Linked DNA regions of Caenorhabditis elegans. The protein of the gene in region 3 interacts with the protein of the main gene of each other region in a pairwise test. Each region holds a gene or a part of one and is shown on either strand. Other genes may lie near its edges.

Evidence for each region. Proteins that work in one complex are often made in the same cells at the same time.
Region 1: the proteins of ztf-28 (region 3) and ehn-3 interact in a two-hybrid assay, tested with the Caenorhabditis elegans proteins (one large-scale study listed by BioGRID).
Region 2: the proteins of ztf-28 (region 3) and ceh-60 interact in a two-hybrid assay, tested with the Caenorhabditis elegans proteins (one large-scale study listed by BioGRID).

The regions. Positions count from the first base shown.
Region 1 is NC_003282.8:5,414,711-5,422,805, reverse strand, and holds ehn-3 (Zinc finger protein ehn-3), read left to right. Parts: upstream 1-3,583; 5' UTR 3,584-3,610; coding exon 3,611-3,652; intron 3,653-3,884; coding exon 3,885-3,974; intron 3,975-4,343; exon of another isoform or gene 4,344-4,364; intron 4,365-4,637; exon of another isoform or gene 4,638-4,658; intron 4,659-4,751; coding exon 4,752-4,976; intron 4,977-5,319; exon of another isoform or gene 5,320-5,340; intron 5,341-5,370; coding exon 5,371-5,499; intron 5,500-5,547; coding exon 5,548-5,685; intron 5,686-5,735; coding exon 5,736-5,900; 3' UTR 5,901-6,107; downstream 6,108-8,095. Other genes in the region: spp-7 (Saposin B-type domain-containing protein), read left to right, coding at 7,044-7,141, 7,806-7,962, 8,015-8,095. UniProt on the Caenorhabditis elegans protein: Together with the zinc finger protein ztf-16, plays a role in gonadogenesis, specifically in somatic gonad precursor cell development. This is possibly by regulating tra-1 gene expression.
Region 2 is NC_003284.9:6,525,659-6,533,732, forward strand, and holds the start of ceh-60 (Homeobox protein ceh-60), read right to left. Parts: upstream 4,489-8,074; 5' UTR 4,428-4,488; coding exon 4,360-4,427; intron 3,748-4,359; coding exon 3,677-3,747; intron 3,478-3,676; coding exon 3,410-3,477; intron 2,896-3,409; coding exon 2,752-2,895; intron 2,614-2,751; coding exon 2,539-2,613; intron 1,997-2,538; coding exon 1,881-1,996; intron 1,400-1,880; coding exon 1,264-1,399; intron 1-1,263. Other genes in the region: ilys-5 (lysozyme), read right to left, coding at 7,891-7,989. UniProt on the Caenorhabditis elegans protein: Probable transcription regulator which binds to DNA, repressing genes involved in longevity and stress, while activating genes involved in reproduction, such as the vitellogenins.
Region 3 is NC_003283.11:2,087,182-2,093,884, reverse strand, and holds ztf-28 (C2H2-type domain-containing protein), read right to left. Parts: upstream 3,217-6,703; 5' UTR 3,205-3,216; coding exon 3,093-3,204; intron 3,032-3,092; coding exon 2,385-3,031; intron 2,330-2,384; coding exon 2,270-2,329; 3' UTR 2,145-2,269; downstream 1-2,144. Other genes in the region: gtnt-26 (Glycosyltransferase family 92 protein), read left to right, coding at 1-621, 1,838-2,132; gtnt-27 (Glycosyltransferase family 92 protein), read right to left, coding at 4,138-4,285, 4,896-5,128, 5,502-5,645, 6,316-6,468, 6,512-6,589.

The sequences.
Region 1 (8,095 bases), on a different chromosome or scaffold from region 3:
TTCGAAGTATTAATATATTTTCGATTTTTTAACAGTCAGTCAATAGTTCGTTATTTCTCAACTTCAAAATTGCCTTCAAAATTGTATTTTATTTTGAAAATTTTTTTAAATGTTTCAATTTTTCTTAAAACTTTTCTAAAAAGTTCATAATTCGTTAATTTGCCCGTTTGAGTATTAACCGGTACATTGCGAAAATTTTAAATCTTTGATAAAAAAACACGCCCTTAAACACATTTCAAACTATTTTTTGACAGTCAAAGTTTTCTTGAAGTTGAAAAATAGTGATAATTTATTTTTTCATAGTTTCGATGGGGCACTTAGTGGGCGGAGCCTATAAAGCCTTGCCCATGTTATAGGCGAAGTTGGAGACCCTTCACTGTGGCCATTCTGTGGAAAATTGAACAATTAATTCTTCAAATTAGTTGGGCGCGGCTATCAAATTTTGAAAAAAAAATTGAAAAAAATTACTGTTTCAAAGTCACATGTTATACTGTAGCATTATGTGGTTGCTATTCCTGTTACTAATTTCAATTGAAATATTTTGTTCTTTTCAATTTCTGGTCATTATGAAAGATAATAGACAGACAAAACAAAAAGAAGGTCCTTCTAATCTAGAAAAATACGACAAAAAAGAGAACATTGAGCCTTGTCAGCAAAGAAGTAAGGGAGAGGCGAGAATGGGAAAATGCGATTTAGGAGAGAAGGAGAAATTATACAATTATTTCAGAAAAGAAGAAGCACAAAAAGAGTGAGACAGACACAAAATGGGGGTGCAGATGGCAAAAAACAACACCAATCTCTGTACAGGAAGAATGAGGAAATGGAACAAAGTTTTTTGTCGGCGGCGCGGGATTTCTCGAATTTTAAATGGGTATTCGGATGTAAAATGATGAGAAAGAGAAAGAAGAACGGAAATTCAATTTACGCATCCGATGAAAATAACAATTTTCAAATTTTGGTTATAGTATTAATGGGTGCCCAGACAATTTTGAGGCTAATTTTTTTATACAGTGTCATGAATTGTAGAACTTTCGTCTGAAATTTCTTTTAAAAATTTGAAAAAATTCAAAAAAACAGGCTCCGCCTTTCTTCCACTTATCTTTTTTTCGATGGATTTTTTCGACTTTTTTTGTACTTTTTTTTAAACATATTTCTGCAATGCCGTGGAGTTAACTGTATATTTTCCGCTAAATCCATTTAATGAAAAATAGTTTTTACATTTTTAAGAACAGTGTGATTACAGTAGTGGTTTTGTACACTTGTTGCGAACTAATTTAGCGTTTAAGGGAATAAAATACCTATTCTTAATTTAAAACATTTCAAAGCATATCCATTAATGCTGTGCTGCTTGGCATTTTAAGAAAAAAATGAAACCGAAAAAAAATTAAACACGGATTCATGAAAATCGATTCTCATGTCGTTTTTTTTTTTGAAAAACTCAAGCAAATTTCTACAATTTCACTCAACGAAAATTTATTAAAAAATTATATTTGTTCCAGTGACGTCATGAAGAACACTATCTAGCGCACGGCACTTTTTGAGCGGAGCCTATGGTTCCCAAGAGGTCCCGCTCCAACAACTTTGTGCAACATTTATAGACCCCGGGAAAAATTTGAATTAAGGGGTAATCCTTTTTTCATTTTTATTTTCATAATTGTGAGCGGATTGTTGGTAAAGCTGCTGTGAAATAGGCGGCTCAAATCGTTAAAGTCAAATTTTAAAAATATTTGAAAGATTTGGAGAAGAAAGTCAATATTCTACCCGCGACGTTTTTTTTGTTTGAAGAACCACTAAACATAAATATGCCCTAGCGTTAAGGAAGTCTATCAAAACTATCAATACTATAGTATACTGTAGTTACAAGGATATTGAAACAGTTAAAGATTTACATCACTAAAACTAATTTCATATCACTTTTGCAGTATCTTGTTTCAACTTAGTATTTATGATTTCTCATTTTTATTATTTAGACTGGTAAGCAGAGAGAAAAAAGCTGGGAATTAGGAAAAAGTAACAACATGAGCAGAGGAAGAAGAAGAGCAACAAGAGCATTAGACAGAATTAGTGATGATGTAGAAGGTACAAGATGAAAAATAGCAAAAAAATAAGTAGAGAATAAAATCAAAACTTTTTCATTTTTCGGTTTTTGGACTACTTTAGAAACTGTAAACAGAGGAAACAGTGGTTTTGTTGGACGTTAAAAACATTTGAATATTTCACATTTAAAATTCCGTTGCAATCAGTTTGAATTTAAAATACATTTAATTTCTAGCTATGTTGAAACTGTGAAATTTTCGGAAAATGCGAAAAAAATGTGACGGATTTTTAAATATTTTATCTAAATCTTCACCGGATAATTTTGGAAATAATACGTTTAGAGGTCGAGCATGATCCCGATTAAAATTAATTAATTGTTAACTGTTTTATGGACTATTTGAAACGTGTTCAATTTGAAAAATGGCATTCATTCTTTCCATCAAACTCATAGTTATTTTTCAGATCTGAAAAAATATCAGAGCCTATTTATCTCGATTGAAAACATTTCTGCCTTTTATAGCTTGATTTTAAGGGTTTGTTGAAACAGTGATATTTTTTTGAAAATAAATGAAAACATTTTCTTGAGTAAGACCTCTCCAGCTATCTTTGGATACTGAATAAATCAGATCTCATACACCAAAAAGCCGATAACTAAAAATATAAATATTATTTCCAGAAGTTTATCACGGAGAATCTTCGATTCCTGACATTAAAATCGAAAGCATTTTCCATTAAAAACTAATATTTTTGCACTCTTCACCTTCTTCCGGCATGTAATCCTATATTACAGACATCCAAGGTAAAAGAGAAAAAACTTGATTTCCTTTTTTCCCTTTTTCTCCAGAAACGTCTTCCAATGTCGTCTTCTTCCTGGACACATTATGCTAATTTATTCGATTTGTGCCATGGTTAATGTATTAGGAAGAAGGAAGAGCATTACGCTATGAACAAAACGCTTTTTTTCGCCACGTGATTTGCGGTTTTGCAGGAGATGGGGGATTCTATTGTTGAAACTAACAAATCCTGAAACTCATAAAATTTTAGTGAATTCATGAATCTGTAAAAATTCTGAATTCTAACAATAATGAAAAGACTTTACAGAGATAAATAAAAACCGAATGAAACATTTAAAATCAGTCAAACAAATGTTTTCTATGAAACAGGAAATTTAATTCTAAAAAAAAAAAAGGATTTTTTTACTCGTACAGTCCAAAGTACTGTAACTGTTCTTAAAATTGACCCCAATTGTAATTTAATATCAATTTGTCCACTATATTTGCTACCTTCTCTTCCAAATCATGAAAGTGACCTCTGACTATATATCACCCCAGTTTGTCACCAACCATCTGGCAAGTAGCGGCAGCCGGCTTATCTGTTATGTCGGAAGATGTGCTTCTTCTCCGACTTGTTAAGATATCTGACACCTAGGATTGTATATTTCCCCCAAATGACCTTCGACAGTACCCGAGAAGTTATAAACAATTTGTGCTCCACCCAAAGTTTGGAATAGAAAATCCTATAGTCACTTTCTGACACTCTCTGACTTTATTCCTCCCAGCTTCCAAATTACAAAATGGAAAAATGCGATATTTGTCACCAGAAGTTTTCCAATAAGGTGAGTGGAGAGTACTAAAGGTTATAGGTAGAAACTAAAGTGCCTACCAGGTTACTTATGGTTTCGTAAACTACTTTCTTGTTTGGCTCTTGAAAAACTGAGACGCAAGACTCAAATCTTTAGAAAATTTCTTTTTAATTATCAATTTACAACATTGTTCAAATCGAAAAGCAACAAAAAACAAGTTACTAAAATCGTAGAAAAATTTTGATTTCCATGTATATTTTTTCAGACAAACTTGAATCGTCATAAGGTGATGCACAGTGGAAAAAAGAAGTTTGAATGTCAGTTCTGCAGAAGACCTTTTTTTCGGAATGATCGGGTTAGTTCTTGTGGTTTTCCGATAAATTTGTATAGAGGATATTTTATTGAAGTTTCTTTATAAAGTTTAGTCGTTTTAGTACAAGCTTTATCTCTAGTGACCAAAAAAATTCACTAAGTAACCTACTTTACGAAAGTTAATTACTTGAAATTATTCCAAACGCTTACAAATAACTCGATTTTTTTGTCGAAACGTTAAAAAAAATGCTAGAAAAAAGCTTCCTAAAAGTTGACTCAATTTATCACTCGTACATCAGATTTAAAGCAGAATGAAACAATCTGTGTTATTGATTTTCAGAAATTGACACAAAAATTTTAATTATGTGTTTCATGATGTTTTTAATAATCACTGAATGCAATTTACGATTACTGGTATCTGTGATTTGCGAATCTGTTCAAAAATAAATGTTTAATGCCAAAGCACTAAAAAATTAAAAGAGAATTAGCACCCAGCATGCCAAATGATGTAGGGGAATTATTTTTCTGTGGATGTGTACTGATACGTTGGCTTTAATTTACTGTTAGCTAGAGAAAATTTAAAAGCTTTGTTTTAAATATTTTTATTGAAAACAAAGTTAAGATTGTTAAAAGTCGTTTACTTTTTCCAGATCTGACCATCAGTTTTTTATATGAAAGTTTCAGTTATGCAAGAAAAGTTGTATTTTCAAATATACTTTGAGAAAGATCGAGCTTTCTAGTAGTATAAAGCATTAAGCATTATTTCTTGAAACATTAAACAGATTAGAAAACAATCTCTTCAACTTTTAATCCAACTCAGATGAAAGAGCACATGATGACCCATATCAAGAAAGGAAATACCTTTGAATGTCCCATCACAGCGTGCAATTCAAAGTTCAACAGCTTCACGAGTTTGCAGTTTCATGTAGATTCGGAGCATATCATAAGAGGATCGTCTCCAGCTAAATGTAAATCTTGCATCAAATGGTTCAACAGTTCCCATCGTCTTCTGCTTCATTTTCATACTGCACACCTGGATCATACGGTGAGTACTTTTTTCTGTGGAAGAATTGAAGCACACACTGTTTTTATTTGGATTTTACATCAGCTACTTGCTTACGAGTAGGTTATAGCTGTGATGTGTTAAGTTTAGCCTACGTTTGATCCGATTCTTGCCGAATGTTGACTAAACTTTTCATTTGAGACTAAAAGTAAAATTTTGAAAACCGTTGGGTCTTGCAATCGAAAATACTTGAAAGCTTCAAAACATTAGAAAAATTGATCTAAAATAGAATTCACTATACTCGAACTTCTCCACATAATTGAATTGAATTTCAAAATACTTTTTCGCTATTTCTACAAAATCTCTACTAAAGTCAGACGTGCACTATGTATAGATTGGATTTTGGTAGATATATATAAATCTCCTTAGTTTTCAGAAATTCTTCTCTTTCAAACCTGCTCCAATTCTTCCAAAATCCACTACTTCAATCTTGAACCCCATCAAGAATCCAGATGATTTTGATAGAATCTTTGACTTTTTCAAAACTGAAATCGCACCACTCTTTGTAAGAAATTTGAAATTGAATTTTCAACTGGTAACATAATATTTTCAGCCGCTTCATAGCACTGTTTCACAAGCCCCATTGCCACAGTGCTCTAGATCTGTAAAATCCGCAAAAGAGTTGTCTCCAACACCATCTACGGAAATCGAAACTCCCGAAGAAGAAGAGTTGGATGGTCCAGAGAGCTGGGTATGTACCTCTGGGAAAAAACGTATTTTGTAAAAAAACAATTATTTCAGTACTGCGATTACTGTAAAATCAGATTCGATGACAAAGTGATGTGGTATTTGCACAGTGGACTCCACTCAGATGATATTCCGTTCAAATGCTCACTTTGTGGAAGCCTATGCGATGGAAAATATGATTTTGCTGCTCATCTCGTTTACGCCAATCATAACTTCTAAAATATAAAAATGTCGATTCTTTTTCAAAGTTATAGCATGGTTCAATTTATTGTTAAGTACCAGCATCAATCTTATCAATAATGTTCCTCATCTTCTGTTGGGATGTTTTAAAATACTTAACTCTGTTCTTGTGTGAATTAATTGTTACATTTGTTTCTGTTAATTGTTTTATATATTTGAAAGTTAGAAATATGATTTTCTCAATTATGGTAGTTGATTTTATTTCTGAAAACTTCAAAAGATTTACTAAAAATTATTGATATGCGAATTTTGCAAAAGTTATGCTGATTATTTTTATCTTCAGGAGAGCAGTTTTAAGGAGGAAATGCCAAGAGTTTTAGATTAAGAAATTTCAAATTTCTACCAACAGATTTTAAAACATTACTCCTGATTTTAGGACAATGAAGATTTTCGCATTTTAAAAGCCTAATTAAAAAAAAACGGCGAGATCAATTTTTCTAGTATAAAATGCTCCTCTGAAGATAATTTTCACAAAGTGTCCAATTAAAAAAGTCATCTCTAGGAGTGATAACACTTTGAATTTCCGAGATTTATTGAAAACTTTATTACATCTCCAACATTAATAATAAAACAAATTAAGAAAAAAGTATTTTACAGTTTTCTAAAGTTTGATGTATTTATAGAGTTTTGCTCTTGAAATATTATTCACAATTTTGCCTCTTTTATAAAAATATCAACAAAAAAATTCTCAAAATTCTCAAGCTAATATCCCATCTGAGACATGAAAAAAGTGATCTTAAGCACGATTCGATTGTCTCCAAACCCTTTGTTCATCATTTTCGTTCAATTATAATAGTACACATACAGTAGGAGGTAGTGGCGAAATAAGGCAATCGAGAGGAAGGATCACAAGTGTGCAAACGATGCTCTCAACTCGGGTGCTCAAATTCGCACATCTCGAGTGTCTGCGTCTCTTCATCTCGCACGCTCTTTCGGCGCTTCTCTTACCAAATACAGTGCTTGAGGTGCGAAATATAGAGAACATAGACGTCTTCTTCTTCTTGTCTTTATTTTGGGCTCCCGGGTAGCTCCTCCTATTTTCAATTGTTTCTGTTTCACTCATTGAATTTCAATAATAATAATAAGTTCCGTTTTCACCGGATCTCAAACTCTCTTCTTAAAATGAGAATTAATTTATTTTTCGTTTTTGCCGTGTTAGGTCAGCAATTTCAAGTCACTTTTACATATTTTTGGAACGAAGAACCAGTTGTCAGAGAGAGGTGAGTTTATTTTGATTAAAAATGATCAATTTTCAAATAATTTCACTAAATATCAAATTGTTGAAACTGTACATTTTGTATTTAGGTTTTTTTGAATGAGTAACATTTTTAAAAAGTTTATGCGAGTGTCACTTTTTTTCCATGTTTTCAAAGAAAATCAACGAACTTGAGAAACCCTCCTTTCAAGAGCAATTTCAAATTTTCAGTGCATCTGTGCATCCCCTACTATTTTTCAAAAATTACAATAATAATATGGATATCTTGAAAGAAAAAATTCAAACTCAAAAAATTTTCCATAATTAATTGATACAACTAAACTTTCTAGTTGATTCTTAACACAGAGCACCTGACTGCTGACACATAATAACGAAAGAAAGTTAAAGCATGTGATATATCACATAGTGAATAACTAGATATATAAAATTCTTGATACTGTGCATTTTTATTAATTTTTTCTCTCTTTTTTTGAGATGATTTCAAATAATTTCAAATAATTCAAAGATTTCAAATATTAAAACTACTTAATGCTTTTAGTCTTGTCGAACAAAGAATTTTCAAATATGTATCAATTATTTAGATAACTGATAAATAACATATATTATTTAAGAAACAGAAAAAAATTTGTTGAGTAGATTTTATCATAGAAACAATTTCAAATTTACAGAGCATCTCCTTCTCCAAATGGAAATACTCCGTCTAACTTGGGATGTTTCATGTGCACTCAATTATTGTCAGTTACAAAACATCGAGTTGGTCTATCGGAGAATCAATTGAGAAATCAATTATATGAGAAATGTCGAGTACTTCCTTCTGTATTCAAGGTGACCGAATAATTCACATTTTTGAATTTTGAATAAACCAAAAAGATGTTAGGAAAATTTACAGGAACAATGTTTCGCGTTTGTGGAGACCTCACTTCCAGAGATCTATTATTCAATTAATTATGATATTTCT
Region 2 (8,074 bases), on a different chromosome or scaffold from region 3:
GATATAATTTTTTTTGTTTTTATGATTGACTATTAATAGTTTTAGAGTTTTGAAAAAAAAATCGCAATTTCTGTGAATATCAAAAAGTCATATCTATTAAGAATAATATAAAGGCTTTTATGCAAACTCTATGTTAGTCTCAACGACATTCATATATTTTTCTAGGTCAAAATTGTCTTTATTATCTGGGTTAAATTCCAAAATTTCAATTTTGTTGTAACTCAAAAAACTTTTGAAATGTTTTCATGAGACTTTTATCTATATTTCCATAAATCAATCTGTCTGAAAAATCTTTATGGACGGTTGTGTACTGTTTTATTTAGTTTCAATCTTCGATTTTTCAAGCTACTATTTAACCCTGTATTGCACACTGTTAGCCGTATACTTATATATTCATTTGTTGATACATTCTAAGTAGATAGGTACATTTTAAGTAAAATAGACACCTAAAAATTACCGAAATTAAGTGCCTAGCAACTCAAAAGGTAAGTAATAAACTGTCAATATATGCAATGAAAAGTGATAGTTCAATTTTTTTCTTGTGGTTTTCATCCGATGTGACATAGACGAGTTGGAGAAATTAGGCATTTTAGCGAAATGTGACTCTTTTCGTGAAATTTCAAACGGCAATAACAAGTTTTGAAAGATTTGGATTTTTTGAGAATGTTCAAACATTACTAAATTTTTCTCTTCTAGACCTCTAGTAAATTAAAGGAGGATTAACGGATCGGACGATTTTAAACGTATTGGCCAAAAATGGGCTCAAATGAACAAATTCCGTAGAGAAACTGATCAAAAAATTTTAAAATTTTTTATGGCGGTTCAAAATGTCAAAAAAAAACACTGTTTTTAGCTAAAATCTCGAATTTTGCCCAGTTTTCTGTGTCGTATCTGTCCGTAGTTGATTTTTTAAAAACTATCATTTTTTGTTGCATATTTTGGTAGTTTATTTTATAATTGCGGCAAGTCGTCAAGCTCCAAATTGATAACTCCACTTTTGATAATTTCAATATGTTCTCTTTTTAGAGGTCTATTTTGCTGAATAGTCTAGTTTTAAGCCAATAATCATACACTAGTTTAAATAGTAAAGTCTTCATGTGTAGTCTGAATCAGTTCAGTATATTTTTTTCGAGGATATTCTATCTTTCGAGGTTTAAGACTTTAACGTCACCGACATAATTCAATTTAGTCTGATTCAGACATTGTTTTTTATAAAACAAAATTGAGCATCACACACCTTTCTAATCGTACAACTGATCTTACCTGTGAAATTTTGATATTACACTGTTTTGCTAATTCCGCCTTTTCCTGGTCGGACGGGTAAGGATTTTGACGATGATCGTGGAACCAGTTTTGCAAAATGTCCGTCGTGTTTTTGTCAAAGTTCCGGCGCTTGCGTCTGAAACAAAATCGGTTTCAGCAACAATTTGTATGATCCATGCGTTAAAGTTAGTTTCAAACGAAATCCGACAAAATGTGATCTGCGTTGTTTTGAATATGAATCCAAATCATGTGAAGAATTAAGTTTGTCTCAGTTTTCAAATTGTTTATTATTGTTACGAATTTCAGATGTTTAGTTCCTAAGCCGATGAACTTTTTCATTTCAGTGTTCATCTGTCTGGAATATCAACGAAGTTTATTAAAAAGCAACATGATTTGAGAACGTATTCCACATCATTTTTTTTTTGAATTTATGATTTTGTATGTTGAGTGTCTTGCAAAACCTAGACCTCACAAGGGACGGAACAAGTAGTCTCACGGAAGTTATTCTAATTTCGGATTAATGTCAACTAGCGTAATGTCTACTTGCAAATTAAAATGTTAGGTAATGAGATATGATAGTAATATATGTAATAATGGTGGAATATCCAAAAACTCACCCCTGCTGCTCGATCTCCCTCCGGAGAACTAGAATTTTAGTTGCTGCCTCCCCGCGAATGTTATTTTTCGAATGCTCGAACCTTTTGGAAATGCTTTGCCGAATGTTAGAGAAATCCTGAAACATTTTCAATAATCTTCGTGAATTTGGACCTAATGAAAACACATTGACTTTGTTAGCATTTAAAAAAGTTCATATTTTGTGTATTATATGTGACATTTGTACGGGTTTCTACATATTTATCATGGTTTGTGTTTGTTTTTTACGGGAAATTGTGAATATTGAATTTTGCACGTAAAATTATAATCCTAACTTAAAAAAAAACAAATTTATAATGAAAAAAATTTGATCTGATCTTGCGTTAAATCTCAACAAGTGATGATCTCGATCGTTTCAAAAATTGAAGAAAAACCAAAATGGATTAGTTTTCTTTTTTTTGGATTACAGTAGGATTCAGAAAAACTGACTTTTGTTCAGAAAAAGTCATTCAAAAGTGTAAAATTCACAAACAACAAATTAATAAGCTGGTTGTTTTCTATTCTTCTATTCGTTCGCCTGACTTTTCAACTTCAGTTTTGTGTTTTGTTATTTTTTTTTTGCTCTCTAATCTCAAATAATAATCTCGATATCTCTTCTACAAATTAATATAATTATTTTACCTTTTCGTCGATCGGTCTAAAATCGCGATGATTTCTGAGTACTTCTTCGCTATTAGTCAGGGCTTTTTCCATATCCTGAAATATTCTGAATTAAATTTGAAAAGTATTTACAAATCAAAAATCGGATTTAAAGCTTCTCACAAGCTTGAGTAAATGTCAAATTTTGTTACGCCTACCGCATCAGTTTGTTTTTTTGAAAATATGAAATATCACCTTGTCCAGTTGAATTTGTTTCATGATAGTGTCTTCTTTTATACGGTTAATTCCGTCCAAATATTTCCTTTCTAAGGGTTGCCATTCCTCGTCTTTCTCAGTGTTGACCTCTTCCAACGGAAATGTAGGATTTTCGAATTGAGCCTACAATTTTTGTTGCTTGTCTAATTTTTCAGTTCTAATGATTTGTTTTAAAAGAGTACAGCCAATGGGGTAATAATTTTAAACCAGTTTGTGGCGCTGAAATGACCGAATATCATACTAAATCTTCTCAAAAAAATTCTGATAATTTTTTATGTCGGGTCAAAAAGTGAGATTGCACCACTTATCGAGAAATTTGAAATAGTGTCGTTTTTTCAAACCCAAACAGTGTTGGAATATAAAAATTGCAAACACAATAGTTCATAGACCGTAGAACTGAAAGAAACTGGTGTTTAAATGAATGACAACTTCCAAAAAATTTGTGAAAACAGCGATTTCACGATTTTTTGACTTGAATTAAAAATTTGCCAAAATCGTTTGAATCTTTTACTATACTATATGGTTATTTTAGCTCCGTAGTATTAGTGTAAATCCTTTCAACATAGAATAAGCTTCATCTTTCAATTGAAAAATGTCACAAACTATTTCATGTAACTTTAAAAACTTATTCACTCACGAGAATTTCCTCAATTTCGGAGGATTGTTCATCTGTATCATACAACGCAACCAAGTTCATCCGAGAGCCTGAAATGTAAATGTGTTAATTTCTGATCCATTTCATACTTCCGTTTTTTTATTATTTTTGAAACTTCAATTTGTTTAAACTAGAGAGTCTTTTCGCTATATCATAGTCATAAACTTTTGATTCTGTAAAAGACCACCGGATGTGACCTTCACCTTTTCTAAATCTGCATAACTTTTTGATTTTTCATTCTTTGCTTACGTAAAATGTCTTTTCTTTCAAGTAGCACTTCGTGAAGCATCCGGCGACAGGGATTCATTTCGATGCATTTTCTGCAATTTTTTAATATAAGTTTTTACTATTTCAGCGGTAACAAAAAATAATGATCATCACTTCACTAATAGTTCTCTAGGGGTGTAAACTTAATCAGCATCTACTGTTATGATTCATATGTCACATCATTTGTAAGATGACTCGAACTGAAAACTGTCTCACCTATTCCCTGATGTTTTTCTAAAATTTTCTAGGAAGATGACCTGTTTAGATTCACCTCCCGACCCAGTTTATAAGAAATATAAAAATCGGTATCTGAATCAGGTTCTCTCATTTCTATAAATTTTCTTCAATCACAAACTACACTTCTTACGATGCCTAGACGAATCTCTGATCTGGATGTTTTGCAGATCATATGTATTAGTCATTTATATCACTTATGAAAACATTCAAACTATAGAATATCAAACAATCAAGATTTGCCTAAACCCAACTAAATTTTTCTTCTTTTTTGCTTTTTTTCTTAGAAGTTTATTCCTATCTAATACCGTTTAGATGTACATTTTTGAAAAATAGGTCATGCCAACATCTATTAAACAGTGTTCTTTTCATAGAGGTCAATTTATTTTTAAATCCTGTTTTGCTGCTCAAAAGTTTTTTTTTTAACTCACTCAATAAAATTCCTGTCGACGTTTTCACTTGAGACGCTCATTTGGAGCTGCTTAATAAGATTATCCATCTCTCAAAGATCGGTGTGATGCACTCGGTTGTGAACGCAACAACACAGAGCTGTGATGTGTCTAAATACAATTTTGAAAAATCACGAAAAAAAAAAACTAAAATAGGTGGTACGAATTCTGTCTAGGTTTTTTCTTTTCTATTCATCGGTGTAATTTGATAAAAACTGAGTTTAATTTCATCATTTTTTATAGATCATTACTAAGATATGAATTTGAAAAAAAAATCCTGTCAAGTTTACTTGTTAATATGCATAGAAATGTTTTATTTATTATTTTATGTTTTACTAAATGTTACAAAAAAATTTTATACATAAAATTAAAAAATCCAAAAATGTGTTCAATAAATGAAAATAACTGTACAGTAAGACTACCACTAGTAGCTCGTAGATTTGGGTTATTGATATTGTTAGAGCAAACATTATTATTGGATTACTGTCATTTGGGCCGCCTTTTCTGTCGCTCAAATTCATAAGGATAAATGTTGACTTATTACGTGACACCTCTTCCTTTTCCCTTTCTACACAAAAAGAAACCGAACCCAAATTTGTGTCATAGCAAACACTTCACTAATCTCATTAGATGATTTTAATTGTCATATATTACGAAATCAGGAAAAATTGGAAAATTTCAAAGAGAAAACGATATGGAAAGCGACGGAAAAAATAATTGAACAACCACGTTCAACTGATAAAAGAACGGTTCTAGTGGTTTTTTCTTCCATGCTCAAGTGCACCATGTACACTGATAACACCATTCCCCAAATGTTGCGATTTCTTTTCAATTACATGCCAATCACCGAAACTCAATTTAAGTATTGCATTTGGATAGTTTTTTTGTTGCATATCTACCTGATGTTTCAAAACTTGTGTATAAAAACTAGATAATACAATGAAAGTACAACAGCACACAAGGTACCCATGGGAATCCGAAATCGTAGTAGAACTTTGATTGTGTAGTAAAATGCCAAACCATTACACTTGTTCTTTCTCTTGGCTTATTACTCAACGGTAAATATCATCAAGGATTATGTTTTCACAACTGAAAAACATGCGAGCACATTTTTTATATTTTGTAATATATCATACACTTGCTCATGTTTTTATGACTATCAGTTAAATGGATCAGCTAGCTGAAGTGAGGATAATACCATTAGTTTTGCAAGGCCACTATTTGATCGTCTTGAACTTTACAGTAGTTAGTTATGACTCCATCAGATGCTTCACATAAAACAAACAATTATTTCTTCAATTTTACATTTGTGTTCAAAATATTCTTATTTTAACACTGTAAGTAGTTAAACAATAATTAACCCTTTTTTATCTCAAAAAAATTCAAAAGTATTTTGAGAAGTTTTATCAAGACATTTAGTCTTTTCAGCACTATAAAAATGGTTATTAATCTTTTTTTGCATGTTGTCAACTTTTAAAAGTCATACAACTTAAAACGGAACAACACTCGTTGTTATAAATTACTATGTCGCTAAAACAGAAATTTCCACTAATTACAGATGTTGTTGAGCTAGTATTCAGTTCAAATTGTTTTTATGAATTACTAATTATTGTTGTTATAATTCAGTTTAAAATAAAGGGAAAAATAAAAACGTTTGAACAATCAAAAAATAAATCAAGTGATTGCTCGAGAGAAATACACGCGAGAACTCGTTTTTTTTAGAATTTCAGAAGCTGAGAATTTTTGTTTGCAAAATTATTCTATCGTTTCGCGTATACAAGTCGTCTTATTACTATTTTTGTTTTTGGTTTTTTCGTACAGATTTGTACGTCTGTAAAAAATCAATTTTACACAAAAGCCCCCCCTAACGCGGCTCAAATTCTAAATCTAGGTAAAAAAATGTACACATAATTAAAAAAAATCCATATCGAATTCCATAAGACGTTCTTATCAAGAGTAGGGAACTTTTTTATAACTTACAACAATTTCAAGTAAACAAATTTTTAATTTCTTTTCGTAATTTTTGTTGGTCACATGCTACAGGACCACGCTCAGTGGTGCCCTGAAATGATGCAATTTTTTCACGTGCCAATAAAAATCTTGCTCAGAGTCAGAGCAAGAAAAACCAGCGGCAAAGAGATGATATCAATTGAGAACAAAATAGAGAAAAGTAAGAAAAATTAAGTGTTTTTTTTTTCAGTTAATATGTGTTCTGAAGTTTTTCCTTGTTTCACAGTCACTTGTTAGCTGTCTGGATATTCTCACGAGGTGTCGTTTGTTTTGTCTGACCACCTGTTTGGATACGATAGATAATCAAAAAGCATCACTTTATAACTTTTAAAAATCTTTGGTTTTTTTACTTTATTCAGACAAGTTTTGAACTTATCAAGTTAATTAAGTTAATTTTCGGTACTTTTCCGATTTCTGCCCCCCCAAAATGTTTCGATATTTTCATTAATGAAACGTGAACTTTTTTGTAATTTCAGGCTTAGTATTGTTTTTTCTAAGCCTAAAAATTTGAAATAGTATTAAAATAAACATTCACGTGTGAATTTAAATTGAAATATTGAGTAAAACATATTTTGGGGGGCAAAAATCGGAAAAGTACCTAATTTTCTTCCAAATTTTGAAGTGAAAACATTTTTTTTAACATATGTTGAATACTCAATCTAAAAAATAGGTTATTAACAACAGATAAAAAAGTTAACTTCCTTAAACTTTTCATCCTCGGGAGACTAAATATTTTATCACGAATGATCAGTTTTCTTCTTTCTGCTCTGTTTTGAAAAGTTTGCTGGTAATCTGAAAATGATATTTTTCCCAACTTCTGTCTTGAGCTCAACTTGAGAACGAAAAAGACCAACTTTGTTTTTAAGCCTGAAATAGAAATGTGGAAACACCGAGATAAAGTTGCTACCTACACCCGTTATGATCCTCACAGAAATCTTGTGATCTTTAATTTTCCGGTTGCGTAGGTTTTAAAATCAAGTTTTCAAAACATCTCAGGTCTGCGAACAACAGTTCCTATCACTTCATAATGTACTTTGTTGACAATTCGAGATTATCATTTAATATCATTCGAGCTGTTCGTTCCGCAACCTTTTCGTGCAAATCCATCTCACGATTATTTTAATCCGAAAGTATCGTAAACATCATGCATCATCGAGCAGACAAATTGAAAGCCTTGTTTATTCTCACCAGAGGCAAAAAGAATATAAAACTAGATCATAAAACGGGTCAACTTATTTTAAGATACAACCTATGACATAGATGGTGGTCTACTTAGACCTTTACAAATTTAGAAAACGATATGCTTGTTCTCATAAATTGTTCACTCTGACATCATTTTAAACCCACTGACCTCTTCGCCTACTCAATTATTTTTCAAAACGTTCGCATTTTTTCGCAACCTATGTTTTGAAAAGCTTATAAACAAGTTTGATATCCTTTCTACTTTGATTTTAAATAAGCTTTATTGATTCATATATATTCTTATTTTGATAAAATTGAAAATTAAGAGCATCCACAGCAGCTTTTAACTCCGTTCCAGTAAGCCAAGGTGTTGGCGTTGTGGCATCCACGTGGTCCTCCGTTGTGGTTACGGGACATGATCTGAAATTGAATGGATTGCCATTTGCTTGATTGAAATCTAAGGTCTTTTGTCCTAACTTGAACAAAACAACATACTTCTGAAAAT
Region 3 (6,703 bases):
GCTCACAATTAAGTTCTCTACCACAGATGAACCATATTTGGAGCCAAATCGTAACGTGGAGCTCAGAAATCAGGCGGCTGCGCACACTGATTGTATTCTCATGTATAAGGAGGCTGTAAGCTTTATTGGAGTTCTTGACATGGATGATATACTTATTCCAACAAATGCCAACTCTTACTACGAGGAGTTCGAGAGAGAATATGCCGGAAGCTGGGAGATTAGTGCACTTCACTATGACAAATTTGACTATAAAACTATAAAAACTTCGGTACTGGACTCTAAGAAGACTCTAAACATAAGTTCAATGATTAAAAATTCAAAACGACTGAAAACAAAAGACGAAGGAAAGTCGTTCTTCCGCCCGGAGAGATTGAATTCTACGTGGTCTCATTATTCACTTAACTCGGATGATCGTCCAATTTATTTGACAAAAAAGCAGAGGAAACCTATTTATCGAAAAATGAAGTACATATATAATAATGGAATATTTCATTTGAAACACATGGTTTTCGTAAACTCAAGTAATGTTCGGGAAGGAGTTATACCGATTAATCCAGGAGATAATATTACTGAGTTGATTAGTGAAAGACATTTGAAGGAGATCGATGAGGATTTTTTGAGGTTTGAATTTTTAGACCTATTACTTCTTACACGTGGTGCCAGGCTGTCCCATCACGGTTTGATCTACAAAAAATGCGGGAAATTTTTGCCCAAAAATGAGACGTCAGCACGTTCTTAACCATGCGAAAGCAGTTGAAAACTCTGCCGCAATTTTTGTAGAGCTAAGTAGATCAAGCCAAAATGAGACACTCTGGCACCACGTGTTATTATGGTTGTGTCGATTTACGGGCTGCCGGCTCGATTTACGAAATGAAATCATTTATTTTTGGAATATTAAAGTTATGCAAAAGATTGAGAAAATAATACGAAGAACGAGCCCGTAAATCGACAACAGCGATACAGTATTCATTTAAATAATTACTGTAGTTTTCGCTTCGAGATATTTTGCTCGTCAAATATGTTGCGCAATACGCATTCTCAGAATTCAGTGTTCCTGTAATAATATGAGCACGCAAGATAATGTGCTCAGCCTCATAATTTGGGTCTCGTTGGGTATTAGCGGCAGAATCGTAAGTGCAAACATTTTCAGCCAATTTTTACGTGTATTCATGCATTTTTAAAAAATAATTTTTGATAATTTTCAAACCTAAATTGGTGAAAAAAATTCAAATTAGATATTCATTTTTTCGACATACCTAGTTCACGGGGCCTTCCTCGTTGAATTTTTCGCGCTCCATTGACAATCGCCTGCCGGACAACGCGTGGGAAAGTCGTTTACTCCACACGGACAAATACATTTAGTTTTACAACTAAAAACGAGCCGCGACGCGACACGCAACGCGCCGTAAATCAACCCCAGATATGGCCGAGTCAAAATGGCCTAGTTCGGAAAACTCTTCCATTTCAATTTATGAGGGAAGCCAGAAATCCGTGCTAATTCCGCCGCCAATACGTGACAAAACTCAAATCATTGTGAAAAAAATTTAGAAAAAAAACCACTTTTTATAAGCCATACGCGAGTTTTCGCAAATTTTAACAAAGAAAAACACGGTACCCGGTCTCGACACGACCAGTTTTTGTAAATGCGGTGTGCGCCTTTGAAGAGTACTGTATTTTCAAAAACTCTGGTTTTTTTATCGATATTTCATACCTTACGCAGCAACCCGAGTTTAAAGTTACAGTACTCATTAAAGGCACACACTTGCATTCAACAAAAATGTGTCGTGTCAGGACCGGGAACCACAATTTCAAAAGTTCAAATTTTAAAAAATTTCAGCACAATTTCCCAGCCAGAATTCACCAGCTTAACCTCCTCTCTGCCCAAAGATGATTTTTATACGAACATCGTATTCCAGTGCTATAATCAATCATTTTATCACATTCGAGACGCCGGCCTTCTTTCTGCAGAATCCACGTGTGTAAATGCTTTTGATTGTGAGCTTTCACAACGAGAAGCGATGCCGTGTACCCATTCAGATGCCACGTATCACTCCGGGCCGCCCATGTTTCCAATCACATTCCATTGGGCGAGTGATGCATTCTTTAGTGATGAGATTGGATGCTATCAGTAATTGGATCTTTTTTTTAATCAAAATAATGTATTAAAGCTTATCGAAAATTGAAAATGTAAATTAACATAACATGAAAATCAAAAAGTGAGCAGTGAGGTAGAACTATAAACATAATGAAGACACTCGAACATCAACGATTACTCAATTTCCGGCTTGATGCGCTTTTCTGGGATCATGGCTGGCTCGGCTGGCTGGATCTGAAAAATTATTTTTTGAAAATTTATCTTTAAAAAAAATGTTTTAATTAGCTACCTGCTGAGCTTTCTTGTAGCTCTGAAGCGCCGTCGCAAGAGCATTCGCACTTTCGATGATTATGACCCATGTGTCGACTTCAGTGATCTGCTGATCGGTGAAAAAATTTCTCTGTAGAATTGTGTCGACTGCATTGTTGAAGAATCTTTTGTACTCGAGAGCTTCTTCATTGGGCTCTGGCTCTGGCTCTGGCTCCAGCTTCAGCTCCAGCTCCGGTTGGGGCGATCCTGAAGCGTCGCGGGAAGATGAGGACGTTGTTGAATTGGAAGTCGACGGCGACAGAGACTTGTTCAAAAGACGATTAAGCTTGAAGCCGGCTCTTTGAATTGGCGATTTCAGCAGTGATCCCGGTGAATTGCCGGATTTCGCAATCGGGTTGGCGTCTCCTGGAGCTCCGGTTTCCTGTATGGCCTTTGCGTGTTCGGTGAGGGCTTTTTTGTTGGAAAACGTCCAGTTACAGCATCCGCAGGTGTATACTTGACCCAAGTAGTGCTCATTTCTCATGTGATCACGGACGGTCTCCTTCAGGTAGAGCTTACGGGCGCACAGCATGCAGGTGTACTCGTCGCTATGCACCAGTTTACGATGGCGGTTGAGAGAAGCGCCGTGCTTGAAGTTTTGGCCGCAGGACAAGCAGAGGAAATCGCCTGAAAAATGGAAAAATTAATGTTTTTTTTTAATTACAAAAAAAAATAAAATAAAACTCACCTCTGAGATCCGGCCGCTTAAGCTCGCTTTCTTCTTTGCGAAGCAGTGACGATTTTTCAGCGAATTCCGTTTCGAAGCGGTCGATAAGGGGCTTGTGATCGGAAGTATCCATGAAGCTGATTTTCTGAAAGAAGAGGACATTTTGAAGAAAAATTTTAGAATTTTACATCAATTTACACTCAAAATAATAAAACTGCGTTGCGTGTACGCCAAAATAGGCCCCGCCTTTTTCTCGTTCACTCACGGGGAAAAGGCAAAAAGCGGCTGGTGTAGCCAATATCAGCAGCCGACATCATTCGAGGTCCGCGCACCACACTATTTTTCTCACTGTTGGCGTGGCGAGCTGTCCCCCCCCTCCCATATTTTTGCCTTTTTCCCGTGAGTGGACGATTAAAAGGCGGGGCCTATTTGGTCGTACACGCAACGCAGTTTTATTATTTTGAGTGTAGAAGAAAAAAGAATTTTTTTACTGACCTACAAAATTTTTGCAAGGATAGTAGACTAAAAAAGCTTCTCACTAATCACATTAATCATATAATTAATAAATAATATTTTTAAACGAAAAAAATCTGTAAAATTAATTAATTCAGGGTCGACGTCGTTTAAAAGTGTTACTTCTTTGTTTCTACGCTTGTAAAGTAGGTTTTCAATCGATTATTTGAATTTATCTTAATTTTTTCTTTATATTTCAAAAAAAAAATACACTGAAAACATGAAAAATCGGTGAAAAATGAGTGAAAATAACAATAAATATTTAATTTTAAATAAAAATAAAAACGTGCAAGCGCGCTCCATCGAACGAATTCTCTTGGCGGTAATTCAAATTGCAGTTCGGGCAAAACTGAGATTTTTCCAATTTTCAAAAAGTCATATAAAATTTAGAAAAAAAAATTGAATTTTTTTACTATGATATTTGGCCATTGTGACACTATAGGCATGTTTTAAAGCAATTTTCCCACTGGCGCTACTTTGTGATTTGATTTATTTCGACATGAAAAAAAAGGAATACAAAACCGGTACAGTAAGTTACTGCAATTTCTTCATTTCAAGACCCATAAATATGCTCAGCCATATTAGCAACTTTATGCACCAGAAGCTTCTCCAGCTCCCTATCCAGCTCGGTTATAGTGAAGTTGTCGCCGTAAATCCAACCATTTCCGATACTATTTCTGACGGAGGTCATTCGGTAGTGTCTGAAAATGTCAGTGTCGATTTACGCGGCTCGTGTACTCCTCGAGGACAAGTGTGCGTTTTTTGGCAAAAATTTCCTGATTTTTGGCCATTTTCGGTAATTTTTTCTACAGAATTTCCGCCTAAAACACTAAAAAATTAGAAAATTCAGTCTAAAATGCTCACTATTTTCAAAAATAATACACAAAAATCGGCAAGAATTTCAGTAAAAATTCAAAAATCTCTGCAAAAAACAAATGCACACTTCTCCTCGAGAAGTACACGAGCTGCTGCTTGAATTTACATATGACCGTGTTATTATACACACGCGAAACTTTGTGATTTTTGAGCTAAAAATACGATATCTGGTCTCGACACGATAATTTGTATTTTCGAAGAGGTGTGCGCCTTTAAGGAGTACTGTACGTTGGTGGGCTCTTCATAGTTCTTCGATAAAAAATATTATTCTGCAGAAAACAATCGAAAGAAAATTCCACTGCAACAAAAGTTTGCAATTACAGTACCCATTAAAGGCACACACCTTTTAGTATTAAACAAAACATTTTCGTGTCGAGACCGAGTACCATATTTTGGTCCAAAAATCGCAAACTTTCACGTATGTGTAAAACCTACCTAAACCCGGCAGTCTCCCTGGGAACATTTTTCACGATAACGCCGGGATACTGTAGATGAGTGTGATGGTAGGTTTGTACGGCGACCATTTCCGGGCGGTATATACTTTTTGAAGATTCCCAGATTTGAGTTCTAGTAGTGTTCCGGAATTTCAGCGCCTCCAGGTTTTCGATGGTGTCTTGCAGATTGGTGAATTTCTGCGGTGAGTTTTCGGTTTTTTGAATCCGTCGCGCCTGAAATGGATTTCTGGCTTTTCTCTTAAATTGAAATGGAAGAGTTTGCCGAACTAGGCCATTTTGGCTCGGCCATATCTGGGGTAGATTTACGGCGCGTTGCGTGTCGCGTCGCGGCTCGATTTTTGTTGTAAAACTAATGGCATTTGTCCGTGTGGAGTACACGACACTTTCCCACGCGTTGTCCGGCAGGCGATTGTCAATGGAGCGCGAAAAATTCAATGAGGAAGGCCAGAACCCCGTGGCAAGATAGTCAAATTTTATTCGAAAAATTGCGCGCCGCAGATTTGCGGTTTGACTCCGCCCTCTAATTTTTGAATTTTTGCGCGCCATTTTCGTTGTGTCATATTCTACTAATATGTGAAAATTTTACCTGAAAATTCAGCTCCCCAACATTTGCATCCTGGGACCGAAGGAGTTGAATAAGGGTAGTTTCTGGCTGAAACATCACGAATCGCTCGTCAATATCTGCATTTATGACCCATCTTGAGATGTATTTGCTGCGATGGAAACAGTCCTAAAAAGGAAAAAAGTTGAGCATTTTCAAAAATCAAAAAAAAATTAATTCTTGGATCAGGGGTGGGCGGCAAATAATTTTCCCGGCAAATCGGCATATTGCCGGAATTGAAATTTTTGGCAAATCGGCATATTGCCGGAATTGAAAACTTTCAGCAAATCGGCAAACCGGCAATTTGCAGATTTGCCGAATTTGACAGAAAAACGGCAATTGCCGAAAATTTCCGGCAAATTGTGGTTTTGCACATTTTTTCGAAATTTCAGAATTTCAATTTTAATTGGCAAAATTGTGCGCTTTCTATGAATGTTCCTAAATCTATTTGGAAAAGTATGTGAATTCTATAAAAATATCTAAACAAAACGGGAAAAAAATTTCAAAAAAGCACAGTTTGAATTGTTTCCGTCTTATAAAAAATTATTCTAAACACTTCCGGCAAATCGGCAAATCGGCAATATGCCGGAATTGAAAATTTCCGGCAGACCGGCAATTTGCCAATTTGCCGAATTTGTCGACAAAACAGTTTGCCGCCCGCCCTTTTTTGAAAAATCGTGTTTTTTTTGAGACATTGGAAAATCGACAAAATCAAAAAAAAAACCAACATTTTCGATTTGAATTCAGGATAATACAGTAACCCTACAGTAACCCTACAGTACTCCTTCCATCAACTCACATGAAGCTGCAGCAAGTGGAACATCCAATCGAGTTGCTCATACTCTGTCTGGATTACTGTAGTCTCGGCGATCCCCTGCCGCTCGTATTCATCCAACGCCAGACGGGAATACGCATCCATATCGAATACAGTAAAGAAGAACATTGATACTTCCTGAAAGTTGCGCGTCAAATTCGATGCACCATGTTTCACGTACAAATATCCGCATGTGCTCCACAAATTCCACAAGCTGGAGCCATTTTCTATCGGCACCGTAGAACGGCCCCACGCACATTGTCAACTCGTGAATTGGTTCTGAAAATTGGGAAAAATTTTGGGAAATTTTATTTCTTTTTTTTTCAAAAAACCTAATCTTTGTACGCTCTGAAAATCATGGGGATCGGTGGTT